Linked DNA regions of Arabidopsis thaliana. The protein of the gene in region 1 interacts with the protein of each later gene in a pairwise test. Each region holds a gene or a part of one and is shown on either strand. Other genes may lie near its edges.

Region 1 (4,669 bases):
ATATTATGACAAAACCCAAAAACGAATTTAATTTATAAAAAATAATTACTATATCTAAATTTTTTATATATGGTATATTCTTTACAATTTTTGTAGATAAAAAATTAAATATGATGATTTAATGCTAATATAAAATGTTTGGGCTAATTTTCTAAAACCTCTCTACCTAATAAACATAAATACATAATTCTCATTTCACTTTTATTTGATTTTATGTACTTATATTATTTGAATTATTATAAATTATATATGGTTAATAAATTTCTTGTTTTTTCTGCATATATTATGATTCAAATTTTTTAAAACACATAATACTGAATCAAAGAAATATATGCACAATCTAAAATATAAACAAATAATAAATCATTTAAAGTTTTTTAACCGATAAAGAAAAATTTGGTTATTTATTGTCAATCGGGTTATAATAGAATGATGCAATAAAAAAAACAAAATTATTTGTAAAAAAAAACAAATAATATCGAAAACAAACAAAATAATAACGGAGAAAAAATATCAAAAACTAACCCATATTACAAACGGTACAGAATCTACTTATATATTTTTGCAACACTTTTATGAAATAAATCCTGGAGTTTGAACTTATTTACAACCCAATGCCATTGGCATTAAATGTTTTAACAAACTTATTATCAAATCTATAAATCGATTTTGTTACTAAAATTTAGGAAACTAAAATAAAAAAAAATCACAAAAATTATTTAAATCATCTATTGTTCAGTACACAACAAGACCTCAATCATATAATGTGTTAAGCAACTTTTCTGTGGCTCTAAGATCCGACCACTGGTGCTAAAACAAGAATCAGAAGCTACAGAAGAAACTTGCATAGCTAGAATATCTCTAGCTAGTACAAATAAAACCGGAAGCTTAAGACTACTGAGCTTCTAGTATGAAACACATCATATTCTGTTTCCAATGTATTGGCCCTTGTGTTTTCAACACTTTCTTGCAAGTACACAATAGTCAAGCTCTTCATTCACCATCTTGTCATAAACAGAGGCCAATCCTTCAACCCCCACATTCACGAAGTCATGATCATCTTCATAATCATGTCTCTCAAAACCAACCCGAGAACTTGATGTTGATACAGAATGAGGGTTGACTATGTTTATTTTATATTCGTCGAACAAACTATTCAAAACATCAATAACCGGAGCACTAATCACCTTAGACTTCAGAGACCCTTTGCCATAAAGCATCTGAGACGAGTATAGGAAGAAAAAAGAAACACATAGTTTTTACATAGACAAAAGCTGATTAGAAATCCCAAATACATATTCTTGAAAGGCTCATTACATTGCAAAACACAAGCTACATTAGATAGATAAGCAAAGAAACTACTAAAGAACAAATTCTGGACCGTGGAATCTTTCTGTGTGTCTCTAACTCTTGCTCTTGAAAGGAATCGCTCTGATGACAATCTGGTGATATAGTGCTGCTAGAGCTGCTCCAATGAATGGTCCAACCCAGAAAATCCACTGCAACAACCACCACAATTTTACAAATTCAAATATATTAGAAAACATCATAATACGTTTTGAGTTGTCCTTTTCATTAGAGTTGTTTACTCACATGGTCATCCCAAGAGTGGTCCTTGTTGTAGATAATTGCGGCTCCAAGACTTCTAGCTGGGTTGATTCCGGTCCCGGTGATCGGTATTGTTGCCAAGTGTACCAAGAACACTGCAAATCCGATTGGGAGCGGCGCCAAAATCTACAATAGAGAGTGACCAATTATTAGTCATAAACTGTTAAACCAATAAAACCGGGGAAATTCGATCGGTTAGTAGTCTAATTAAAGCAATAAAATCAGCAAACCGGAACTAAGAGAGGGGTCCATACCGGGACGTGTGAGTCACGGGCGCTTCTCTTGGCGTCGGTGGCGGAGAAGACAGTGTAGACGAGAACGAATGTTCCGATGATTTCAGCACCAAGGCCAGAACCTTTGGTGTAGCCATGAGCAACGGTGTTAGCACCACCACCGAGAGTCTGGTACGGCGTTGGCTGGAAACCTTTGACGACTCCGGCACCACAGATGGCTCCAAGACATTGCATAATCATGTAGAACACTGCTCTGGTCAGAGATAACTTCCGAGCCAAGAACAGACCGAATGTTACAGCAGGGTTGATGTGTCCACCTAAAAACACACAAACACAAACACATGTTACACAAAGATGTGAGCTTTATCTGAGAAATCAACAGTAAAATTGGTGTAACATACAGATCTAGATAAGCCCAAGCATCAAAAGAACCCAAAGTTTCCTGCTTTATAACTGTTTTTGGTTCCTTTACATTTTCTAGGTCAAACAGAGCATGAACAAAAACAGAGGACTCACATAATGGTTTTCAGAAACAAAACAGAGCAAATAAAGCAGAACCAAAACAGAGAACCCACCAAAACAGAGATTACAGAAAAATGGGAAAATCGAGAGAAGGTTACCTGAAATTCCAGCAGTACAGTAGACAAGAGCAAAGATCATGCCACCAAAAGCCCAAGCGATACCTTGGATTCCAACAGAAGCACACATGTTTGGTGCTCTCTTAACTCCCATTACAGTCAAAACAGTGATGTAGAGAAACAAGAAAGTAGCGATAAACTCAGCTATTCCGGCTCTGTAGAAAGACCATGAGCTGAGCTCGCCGGGCTCGAACAGTGGCGCAGGAGGTGGCTCTTTGTAGTCCTTGTCGGTGGACTGAGCCGATGTACCGATGGGTTGCCTCTCCGGGAACTTGTTAGCTCCCACTCGTACATCTTCTTCTTTGCCTTCCATTTCTCTCCCTCTCCCTCTTTTGTTCTTCTCTCTCCAGAAAGGTTAAAGTTGTGAGCTTTTTCTTTCTCGTGTGTAGCTACCAAGTGTGTGGTCGAGACTTCATTTATAGAGAACAACGATAGAATATAATAAAATTGCCTAACGTTTCCAAACATTTATTTTTAGTTATTGCTAAGAAAATAAAATAGTATAACGTATAGTTTTTTCTTTATTTCAAATTTCAACTAGAATAACCAATAGTTAACACCTAATTTCAAGGCTTAGGCAAATAAACTGAGAGTCAAATAAACTGAACCAAATGTACTAAACCTAAATGAAAAAAAAAAACAGAACCGAATTGAATCAACAATTTAAAAATTGTTGAATAGATATTAAATTTTATAATCAAAATAACCAAAAATGAATTAGTACCTAACTAAAATATTTTAGATGATCTAAAATATCCAAAATATAATTTTATTTTCAAAAATATTAGTTATTTCTATACTTAGTAATTAAAAATATTTAAAAATATATATTAAATAGTAACAATATTCAAAAAATATCAAAAAATAATTGAAATATTTAAAAATATTAAAAGCAAAATAATCGAATGGATATTAAATTTCAAAAAAAAAAAAAAAAACGAACCAAAATTTCAAAATAGTCGAATGAATACTAAACTTTAAAACCAAAAAACCGAATAACCAAATAGATACGAATCAAAACCAAATAGATAACCAAACTAAGAGTTTAGAACTAATAATTTCAATGATCATTTGTGAATGGTCTTAAACTTTACTAGTCACGAAATTCTTTTTTCTCTTTTTATGTTGACAGATCAAACTAGTCTAGTTACGTTTTTCTCAACTAGTTATTATTCATGATGGTGAATGTTGAATAATTATGTTAATGTTGAATAGTTTGGTAATTTGTACTAGGGTTACTATTAAATAAAGATAATGATGGAGGAGACTAGAGAGGGTTGTTCTGGAACGTACCGATGTGCTCTCGTATAAAGACAAAAAACCTGACCCTTTTTTTTTCTTTTCCTCTTCCCACAGGGTCCACTTTCTGGACGGTAAACAAAAATCGATAAAATTGTAAGAGCCCAATAAAGCCCAATAGTAAAATAGTAAAAAAAAAACTGACTATTCAACGAAACAATTATCTGACCGTTGGAGAAAAAATTGACAGCTTTATGTAAAGTCATTTTCGTTGGGACTGACTATATAGTATAATGCCGTGCTTCATAAAAATCATTTTTAACTTTTAATTATTCAACCATGCGATATTCCAGAAAATGTAATGAAAAAAGTTGAGGGCAAACAAAAGTTATAAAAATCTGTTTTACGTTGACAAAAAAACAGTGTTATGTACTGATGAAAGATACATTCTATCAACCAGCCACTTGTTATTTTTTTTTGTTTTTTGCTTAGTTAGCTTTTTTCTGTGTTGCTTGAAATTGACAAGCCACGCATTACAAAATCAGGTCTCTGATTTTTCTTATATACAAATATTTATAATTTGTTGTGGACCGAATAAAAAAGGCTAGCATTGAATGCAAGTAAATAATTTTGTTTTTGAATATAGTGACTATATTTGGGTGCTGACATGTAAAACTGTTTGAACAGCTCAGAGATGAGTATTGCTTCTCTGTGATCTCACATGCTTCGTTGCCAACAAACACTAAAATTCTCAAATGTAAATGTTTCCAATTCGATATTATAATGTTTAGTACCATAGTTACAGACTTACAGTATTGTGCAAAAGACATAATTTAGGAAAAGTTCTTACGTATTCATTTTGGAAACGTAACCACAATGCACAGTCACATACCGTCCAGCCAACATAAGTTTGACACGTGGAAGAACCCGTTGAACATGTGTATTGTTTTA
Region 2 (3,764 bases), on another chromosome or scaffold:
AAGGGTACGTAATCTTCTAATCTCATCAATTTGATAATCTAAATTCAATGAAATTAATAAGAATAAATCAAATTCAGGGAAGCCATGGACGGAAGAAGAACATCGTAATTTCTTAATCGGTTTAAACAAACTCGGAAAAGGAGATTGGAGAGGCATTGCAAAGAGTTTCGTGTCGACAAGAACACCAACACAAGTCGCAAGTCATGCTCAGAAATATTTTATTAGGTTAAACGTTAACGACAAGAGAAAAAGACGTGCTAGTCTCTTTGACATCTCTCTCGAAGATCAGGTACTTATTTACCTTGTTTCTCAAGTAATCCATTGAGTCAATTGATTTGTCTAGGGCTATTTTTTAATTTAGGGTTTAATTGTTTTTTCATTAAACAGAAGGAGAAAGAGAGGAACTCTCAAGATGCTTCAACAAAGACTCCACCTAAACAACCAATAACCGGAATTCAACAACCGGTAGTACAAGGTCATACTCAAACCGAGATTTCGAACAGGTTTCAGAATTTATCAATGGAGTATATGCCAATCTACCAACCCATACCACCTTACTACAACTTTCCACCTATTATGTACCATCCAAATTATCCAATGTACTATGCCAACCCTCAAGTACCGGTTAGGTTTGTTCATCCTTCTGGTATACCTGTTCCAAGACATATACCGATTGGTTTGCCTCTGTCTCAACCGAGTGAAGCTTCTAATATGACAAATAAAGACGGTTTGGATCTTCATATCGGTTTGCCTCCACAAGCTACTGGAGCTTCTGACTTGACTGGTCATGGCGTTATTCATGTGAAATGAAATCTCATTTTTTGTGTGTTTATTTAAGCATGATATAGGTATATTGCTTCTTTTTTTTGGTGTTGAGTTTTATTTGAATATATAGCTCCATATTCAAAAGTTTTGCCAATCGGATTATGTATCATTTTTATTTCTTCCCAGATTAGATTAAATAAGAATATAGATATATTTGGATTTATATTTAGCTGCTTCTTTATCAACCAAAAACAAAACAAAAAAAATCTTAGTTTTGGTGAAGTTTATTGAGTAAAATCAACATTCATTGGGAGAAAATTAAAAAAATGGTGTTGATTAACTAGTAAAATCCTTTGATCAATTTCCTAGAAGCTCGTCTGGTTCTATCAGTGAGGTTTGGTTTGTCAGGATCTCCGAGTTCTAAGGTGGCACCCAAGAAACCGGTCTGAGTTCCATCGCTATCATTGTCGATGTCTCCTTCGATCGTCAATCCTTCAATCTTAGCCGCAATAGATTCTTCTCTCATCCCAACATCCACATCTTCAAAATTTGGATCGATGTTATAAGTGCCACAAAGAATAAAGTATCAACATGTAACAGTTACATAAAATATTTCCCAACTTCACAACCGCCAAATGCAGACATGATCTCTCTACCATTTGCAATCCAATTTGATCATGTTGGATTATTGCGGATGAGTTCGTGGTTAACAACATGCATGTTTTTTCTTTCACTTTAAAACCGGGCATGGTTTGATCAAACACAAGCATGTTTTTGGCTCACTAATTGTATATACCTGGATTTGAGAAGAGCCAAAGTACGAGAGCGCATGCAAGGAGAACAAATGGTATGATGTGAATGGCGTTTTCTGCGAATTTGGCACGTGACTTCTCCTTCTTAACCATCTCCTCTGGTGGATTATTGTAGGAAGGTAGTTCGTTCTCGTCGAGGGGACCGATCACCGAGCCCATCCACAATCCCTTAGGCGGTGCGGATGAGTAGTCTTCTGGCACTCGGTTCCAGCTCGCGGATCTATACATTTTGATAAGTATTTTTGGTTTTGATAGGTGTGTTCCAAAAACTCTATAGAAATTACGTTTTTAGGATGTTGATGGTTTTTGAGCTTAATCAGTTTCTTTGTTACATTTTAGTCACAGTTTTTTATTTCTTAGAAGAAAAAAGAATCCGGATTGAATTGCGAATTTAGAGCCTATGGTTTTGGTACATTTGGATCGAAATAAGGACTTTGTCAAATCGTTCAATCTAATCACTCATTTTTCCATTTGAGAGTGACAAAAACAACCATTTCTTTAGATTCTTTGTTTTCTTCTTCTATTTCTGTGACATTTTATAAACATATGATTTGATCATGCTTGAAACTAACTAATCTTAGTTTTAAGATTTTAAAGATTAAAAAAAAAAAAAAAAAAAAGATTTTAAAGATTGTCAATTTGAACTGCTTGAATGAAATGTCAACCAAAACTGGTTTCTAAAATTATTTTTATCGTTATTCAAAACGTAAACGCAAACGCGAATTTTATACCTGTCAGAATTTGGTACAAAATGTTCCGCAGAATCAGCCGACGTTTCCTCTTCACCACTTTCCTCTGTTTCTCTGTTTCGCTCTCTCTACAAAATTTCTCCATGAACATACTTAACAAGCTAGGTATAGGATCAAGTAGACAAACCAACATGGATCCTTCTCCAATCGCACAAGTAATCGACGACGAAGCTCCGGCGCCGGGAAACCAGTTTACTCAATTCGGCGCCGGTTGTTTCTGGAGCGTGGAATTAGCGTACCAGAGAGTTCCAGGAGTGACTCAAACAGAGGTTGGTTATTCTCAAGGGATCACTCACGATCCTTCTTACAAAGATGTTTGTTCAGGTACCACGAATCATGCCGAGATTGTTCGTGTTCAATATGATCCAAAAGAGTGTAGTTACCAGTCGCTGCTTGATTTGTTCTGGTCTAAGCATGATCCCACCACTTTGAATCGGCAGGTAACGAAAGTTTTGCTCTTTAGAATGTCTGATTTTGTGAGTTTTAAGTTTTGATTTTGGTGATTGAGGAAGATTTCTAGGGTTTCTAGGGCTTGCTTGAAATATTGAGCTCTAAATAGATTGAAATCTAGGGTTTGGATGATGTAATACTTTGGATTCATTTCATGTTCTGTTGGTACAAAATTTAGGTTTTATGTTTGAAACTGAACAGAGAGACTCATACATCTTCTCTTTGATAAGGATGTGAATTTGGCTATCGTTCTTGTCATCTTTGGTCACTGAACCATCCTTATGTGTATTTTGGTAGTTTCTTAGAGAGCACTTAACCAGCTCTTATGCAGAATCACTATTTATTTGGTAGTTTATCTGCTTGTCGTGCATTATGTTCGAATTTGTTTCTCTGTTTTAATGAGTACATCCTTATCTGATCAGGGAAATGATGTGGGAACCCAATACCGTTCAGGGATATATTTCTACAACCCGGAGCAAGAGAAACTAGCACGCGAGTCACTGGAGCGGCACCAGCAACAAGTTGACAGGAAGGTTGTGACAGAGATCTTACCGGCTAAGAAATTTTATAGAGCTGAGGAACATCACCAGCAATACTTGTCTAAAGGAGGGAGGTTTGGTCTTAAGCAATCAACGGAAAAAGGCTGCAACGACCCAATCCGCTGCTACGGGTAAAAGCCTTGCTTCTAACCGAAAGCAGAGGATGCTTCCACTTATCTATGATAGATTATAGCAATTATCGTTGAAAAATAAAGAAGCCGAGGCTACTTATGTAACTTGTTCTTGTTCATAAAACTTTTTAAGTGTTCAATCCTTTAGGTATATAGTATTGTTTGGATGTTCTCGATTGAATTTGTTCTTGTAAGATTCATCAAAACTAGTTTGAGTAAAACGTAAAATGATTTTTTAGTGTCTTTTACTCAGCATCAGTTTTAGTTAGTGTACTAGGCTCTAACTTAAAGGGTTAAATTGATCCAAACCAAAGTGAA
Region 3 (3,951 bases), on another chromosome or scaffold:
AGAAAAAGGATAAAGTCATCCAATTATTAATGAAAAGTAAGACAAAGCAAACATTTCGTGAAGTTTGACTTAAACCACCCACCATAATGAAAAAGAAGGCTTGTTAATCTCTTATTTAATCTATAGCCTACTTATTTATGAAATTCTGAATCTAAAAGCGGCGACCTGAAAGCGATCGTTTCACTTTTTAAAAATCGTTTTCTTTGTAATAATCATTTGTCCGCGCGATGTTGACAAGTTATGTGGTAGCTAGCCATTTTTGACGGTTCATATTTTAATTTTGATTAGCCTTTAACGTATAAAACCCCATTTGATCCATTTGTTAATTAGAGTAAACCACATATGTTACATGGCCGTGAGTCACCTCAGGCTTTGGATAAAATCTTTTTGTTTTTCGTTCGGATGTTTTGGAAATCTTGAATAAAGGTAATACAACTATTTTTTAGTTTGACACAAAAAAAAAAGGTATACAACTATTTTTCTTCGTGTTTAGACAGTTTATAAATCTAACTAGAATATATTATTTAAAATATAATCAAACAATCAGTTCACTATGGAGGGAGGCAATGAAGAGGACTAAAATGAGTAGTTCCAAAAGGAGAACAAAGCGATTACATGAATGAAGAAAGAAGAGGAAGACCATTATACAATTGAAGATTACAACGCTATTCGAATTATTAATTGTCTATCCTTTGCACAACCGTTCAAAGATTGATTCGATTTAGGTTTAGAAAGAAAGAAAATGAATCAAGCTTTGATAGGCAAAAGTCACATAAAAAGAAATAGAAGTTTTGTGTACATTTGTTAGAAGTGCTTGGCATTTGTAATCATCTGAAGTAAGCAATAAAAGAGTTACAAAGTTAACTACTCTTGTTCTGTTCTCTTCACAAATACACAAAAATACTTATATATGCTTGCCTTTCTAGTTGTCTCGGTGCCATCTTAATCTCTTTGGTCATTTTTCCCAACAAGATCTGACAAAGGTAAAGAAACTAAAGCTTTGCGATTGATAATGTCTGAATAAAAAAACAAGAACCGAAGTTATTTTCAGCATATTCTTCGATTTCTTCTGAAAAAACGAAACCAATTCATCATAACCCATTGAAACATTTCGTCAAATACGTGGCAGGCAATACATCTTAGCAATGCCCTAGTGTCTTTAGTTTGGTTTGAGAGGATTACCGAGGAAGAAATGTCTTGATGAGAGTCGAATTGGGTTTCAACTGAAGGAGAAAAAGTGTCATTGTGAAGACATCTTTGAATACTCTTTAGTTCTTTAGCCACTTCCACCATAGTTGGAACTTCCCCAACATGACCGGTGCATCTCAGTGAGAGCAATAGGAAAGCTTTCATTTGACAAAGCTCTTCTTCTGAAATTTCGCCCATTTCTGGATCTGCAATCTCATCCATTTTTGGCTCTTCCATAAATTTTGATGTAGGAAATGGTCTTCTCATAATCCTATCAAATATTTTTTCCCCCATTAGAAGCATTTGCATGGAATGTCCAACGGCAAAGACATCCGTTTCCTCTGAGACTACACCATGCTTCAAGTAATTAGGCTTCAAGTAATCAACTGTTCCCGCTATATAGTCAACCTGGACAAATGTTTCTCCTTCTGGTATTGAGACGCAGAAAGAGAAATCCATCAGCTTCGCGACACCATCTTCATCCAATAATATATTCGTAAGAGACAAACACCTATATACGAAGGGCCTTGGGAAGGCGGTGTGAAGGTAAGCTAAAGCAGTAGCGATATCCTCTGCTATCTTCATTCTCCTTTTCCACGGCTGTTCACTTGATTCTAAATGATAATGTTTCTTGACACCATGATAAACCATGACTGGCTCTTCAAACTCAAGACAATATCCAATCAATTTCAGGAAGTTTTTGTGACCACTCACCATTGATGAAACTGCTATGTCGCGGAAAAATGTATCTTTGTAGTAGACGGACTGGGAAAAAGCTTTCCTGACAAGTATCATGTCATGGTTCTCGTTCTTGCCTGAATACCATTTGTAGTCAAAATCATGAGATAATTCGGAAACAAGATTAGACACGCCGAAATTGTTGGTGGCTTTGCGGATCTCATCAGCAGAAAAGAATTTGATGGGATTGGATTTGCCATCGCAGCATTCGATCAGATCTTTTAACAGCTTCGCTCCTCTTTCGGAAGCTATCTCGGATTTAGGCTTCTTCTTCTTCCTCCACCAACCCATCTCAAAACGTAAATTAGAAAAAGGAAAAAAACTTTCTCTTGAAACCAAATGAAGAAAGACCTCACACTGAGTTGATGATAACGAAATGTATTTAGCTAAATTCTTTGTTGAATATTCAATACCGCGTAAAGATAGCAATACAAGTGTACTACTACTACTTTTCTTATTTTATTTTTTAAGAGTGTCAACCGGTTTGTTCTGGTCTGTTACTGTGTAAAAACTTAAGTCAAACTATTCCGAATCCTTTGAGGCTTTGACTCCCTCTGCTTATTATTCTTTCATTCTTTCTCAAAGCAACACTCCACCAATCAAAACATTCCCCTTTTTTTTTTTGATAAACACAAAACATTCCCTTAAATCAACATTTAAAACAAAGCAAGAAGATATTATTTTTCAGTGTTTGATTTGCCTTGTAAAACGACGGACATCCAGATTTTTCGAATCGAATTCAACCGAATAACGGATCAAATCGGATCTAACGAATATTTTGCCCAGCGCAAGAGTAAACATCATATATTCAGCAATTACAAATTTAATGCGAAGATCTCTCTCCCTCTCTCTCTGTAATCAATGTCAACACTAATATCTTGGAAGACAAGCCATTTCTTAGAACCTTCTAGATTTTACCTATGCAGACATTTTCTTCCGCCGCCGCTCTCACCTCCATCCTCCGTCGTACAACGATCTATCACGGCGGATTTGGAACTGGTCTCCGAATCCGCCGCAGCTTTTATTTTCTCTCAGCGATACGACAAGAGAACCCTAATGTCACTAAAAATCCCCACCCGAACAAGACTATTCTCAGATCCTTCTTAGCTCCGGTTCTCCCGTTAGACGAAAAACCTAACCTCGTTGAGCTTCAAGCCATCGGTACAATCGCCACCGCTCTAGCTGACTACATGCGCGTCATTGTTCAAGATGTACCTGAGAGTGATAATGGAGAGGATGATAAGATTGGCGTTGAGTTGCTTTGTGTGGTGAGAAAGTTACTGAAGAAGATAGGTAGGACTGTTCTTGTTGGTGATAAAGTTCTCGTTGATAAAGTTGATTGGGTTGATCGGAGAGCTAAGATTATCAATGTGTTTGATCGAGTCTCGGAGGTTTTGGATCCACCGGTTGCGAATGTTGATCACTTAGTGATTCTGTTTTCTCTTGATCAACCTAAGATTGATCCATTTACACTTACTAGGTTCTTGGTGGAAGCTGAATCTATTGGAATTCGAATCACAGTTGCTTTGAACAAATGTGAACTCGTCACTCAAGAGGTAAGGATGATGAATCATATTGACTCAACTAGGTTTTGGTAGGAAGTAAATTGCATAGTTCACTACTAGTTTATACTCTCCATTTCAGGGGTTTAAGTAGAGCAATGATCTTGTTTACAGGACTTGGAATCTTAGAAGATAAGATTGTGTAGTTGGAACTATGCACCACTGTTTTTGCTAGAAAGACATTGCGTAGTTCACGACTAGTTTAGACCACTTTGATCCTTTGTACTCTATTTCAGGGGATTGATTAGAACCATATCCTGGAATTTCATAGCTCATTAGTTCACTACTAGTTCAGAACACTTGCTGCTTTATAGTTTAGACTCGATTTCAGGGTTTGATTAGAGTAATGATCTTGTTTTCAGGAAGTGGAATCTTGGAAGATAAGATTGCGTAGTTGGAACTATGAACCATTGTTCTGTAGTGTGGGAACTAAAGTCGGAATTGATGAGATTGCGTTTAACCT

What was found.
Region 2: the proteins of PIP1;4 (region 1) and AT5G61630 interact in a protein complementation assay, tested with the Arabidopsis thaliana proteins (one large-scale study listed by BioGRID).
Region 3: the proteins of PIP1;4 (region 1) and AT1G67470 interact in a protein complementation assay, tested with the Arabidopsis thaliana proteins (one large-scale study listed by BioGRID).

What each region holds. Positions count from the first base shown.
Region 1 is NC_003075.7:184,740-189,408, forward strand, and holds PIP1;4 (plasma membrane intrinsic protein 1;4), read right to left. Parts: upstream 2,942-4,669; 5' UTR 2,793-2,941; coding exon 2,462-2,792; intron 2,159-2,461; coding exon 1,863-2,158; coding exon of another isoform or gene 1,830-1,862; exon of another isoform or gene 1,735-1,829; coding exon 1,594-1,734; intron 1,500-1,593; coding exon 1,404-1,499; 3' UTR 546-1,403; downstream 1-545. UniProt on the Arabidopsis thaliana protein: Aquaporins facilitate the transport of water and small neutral solutes across cell membranes.
Region 2 is NC_003076.8:24,772,698-24,776,461, forward strand, and holds AT5G61630 (uncharacterized protein), read right to left. Parts: upstream 1,882-3,764; 5' UTR 1,806-1,881; coding exon 1,562-1,805; intron 1,306-1,561; coding exon 1,106-1,305; 3' UTR 811-1,105; downstream 1-810. Other genes in the region: AT5G61620 (myb-like transcription factor family protein), read left to right, coding at 1-4, 78-289, 388-810; PMSR1 (peptidemethionine sulfoxide reductase 1), read left to right, coding at 2,329-2,766, 3,199-3,450.
Region 3 is NC_003070.9:25,270,513-25,274,463, reverse strand, and holds AT1G67470 (Protein kinase superfamily protein), read right to left. Parts: upstream 2,343-3,951; 5' UTR 2,218-2,342; coding exon 1,048-2,217; 3' UTR 604-1,047; downstream 1-603. Other genes in the region: AT1G67460 (Minichromosome maintenance (MCM2/3/5) family protein), read left to right, coding at 2,847-3,482, 3,851-3,951.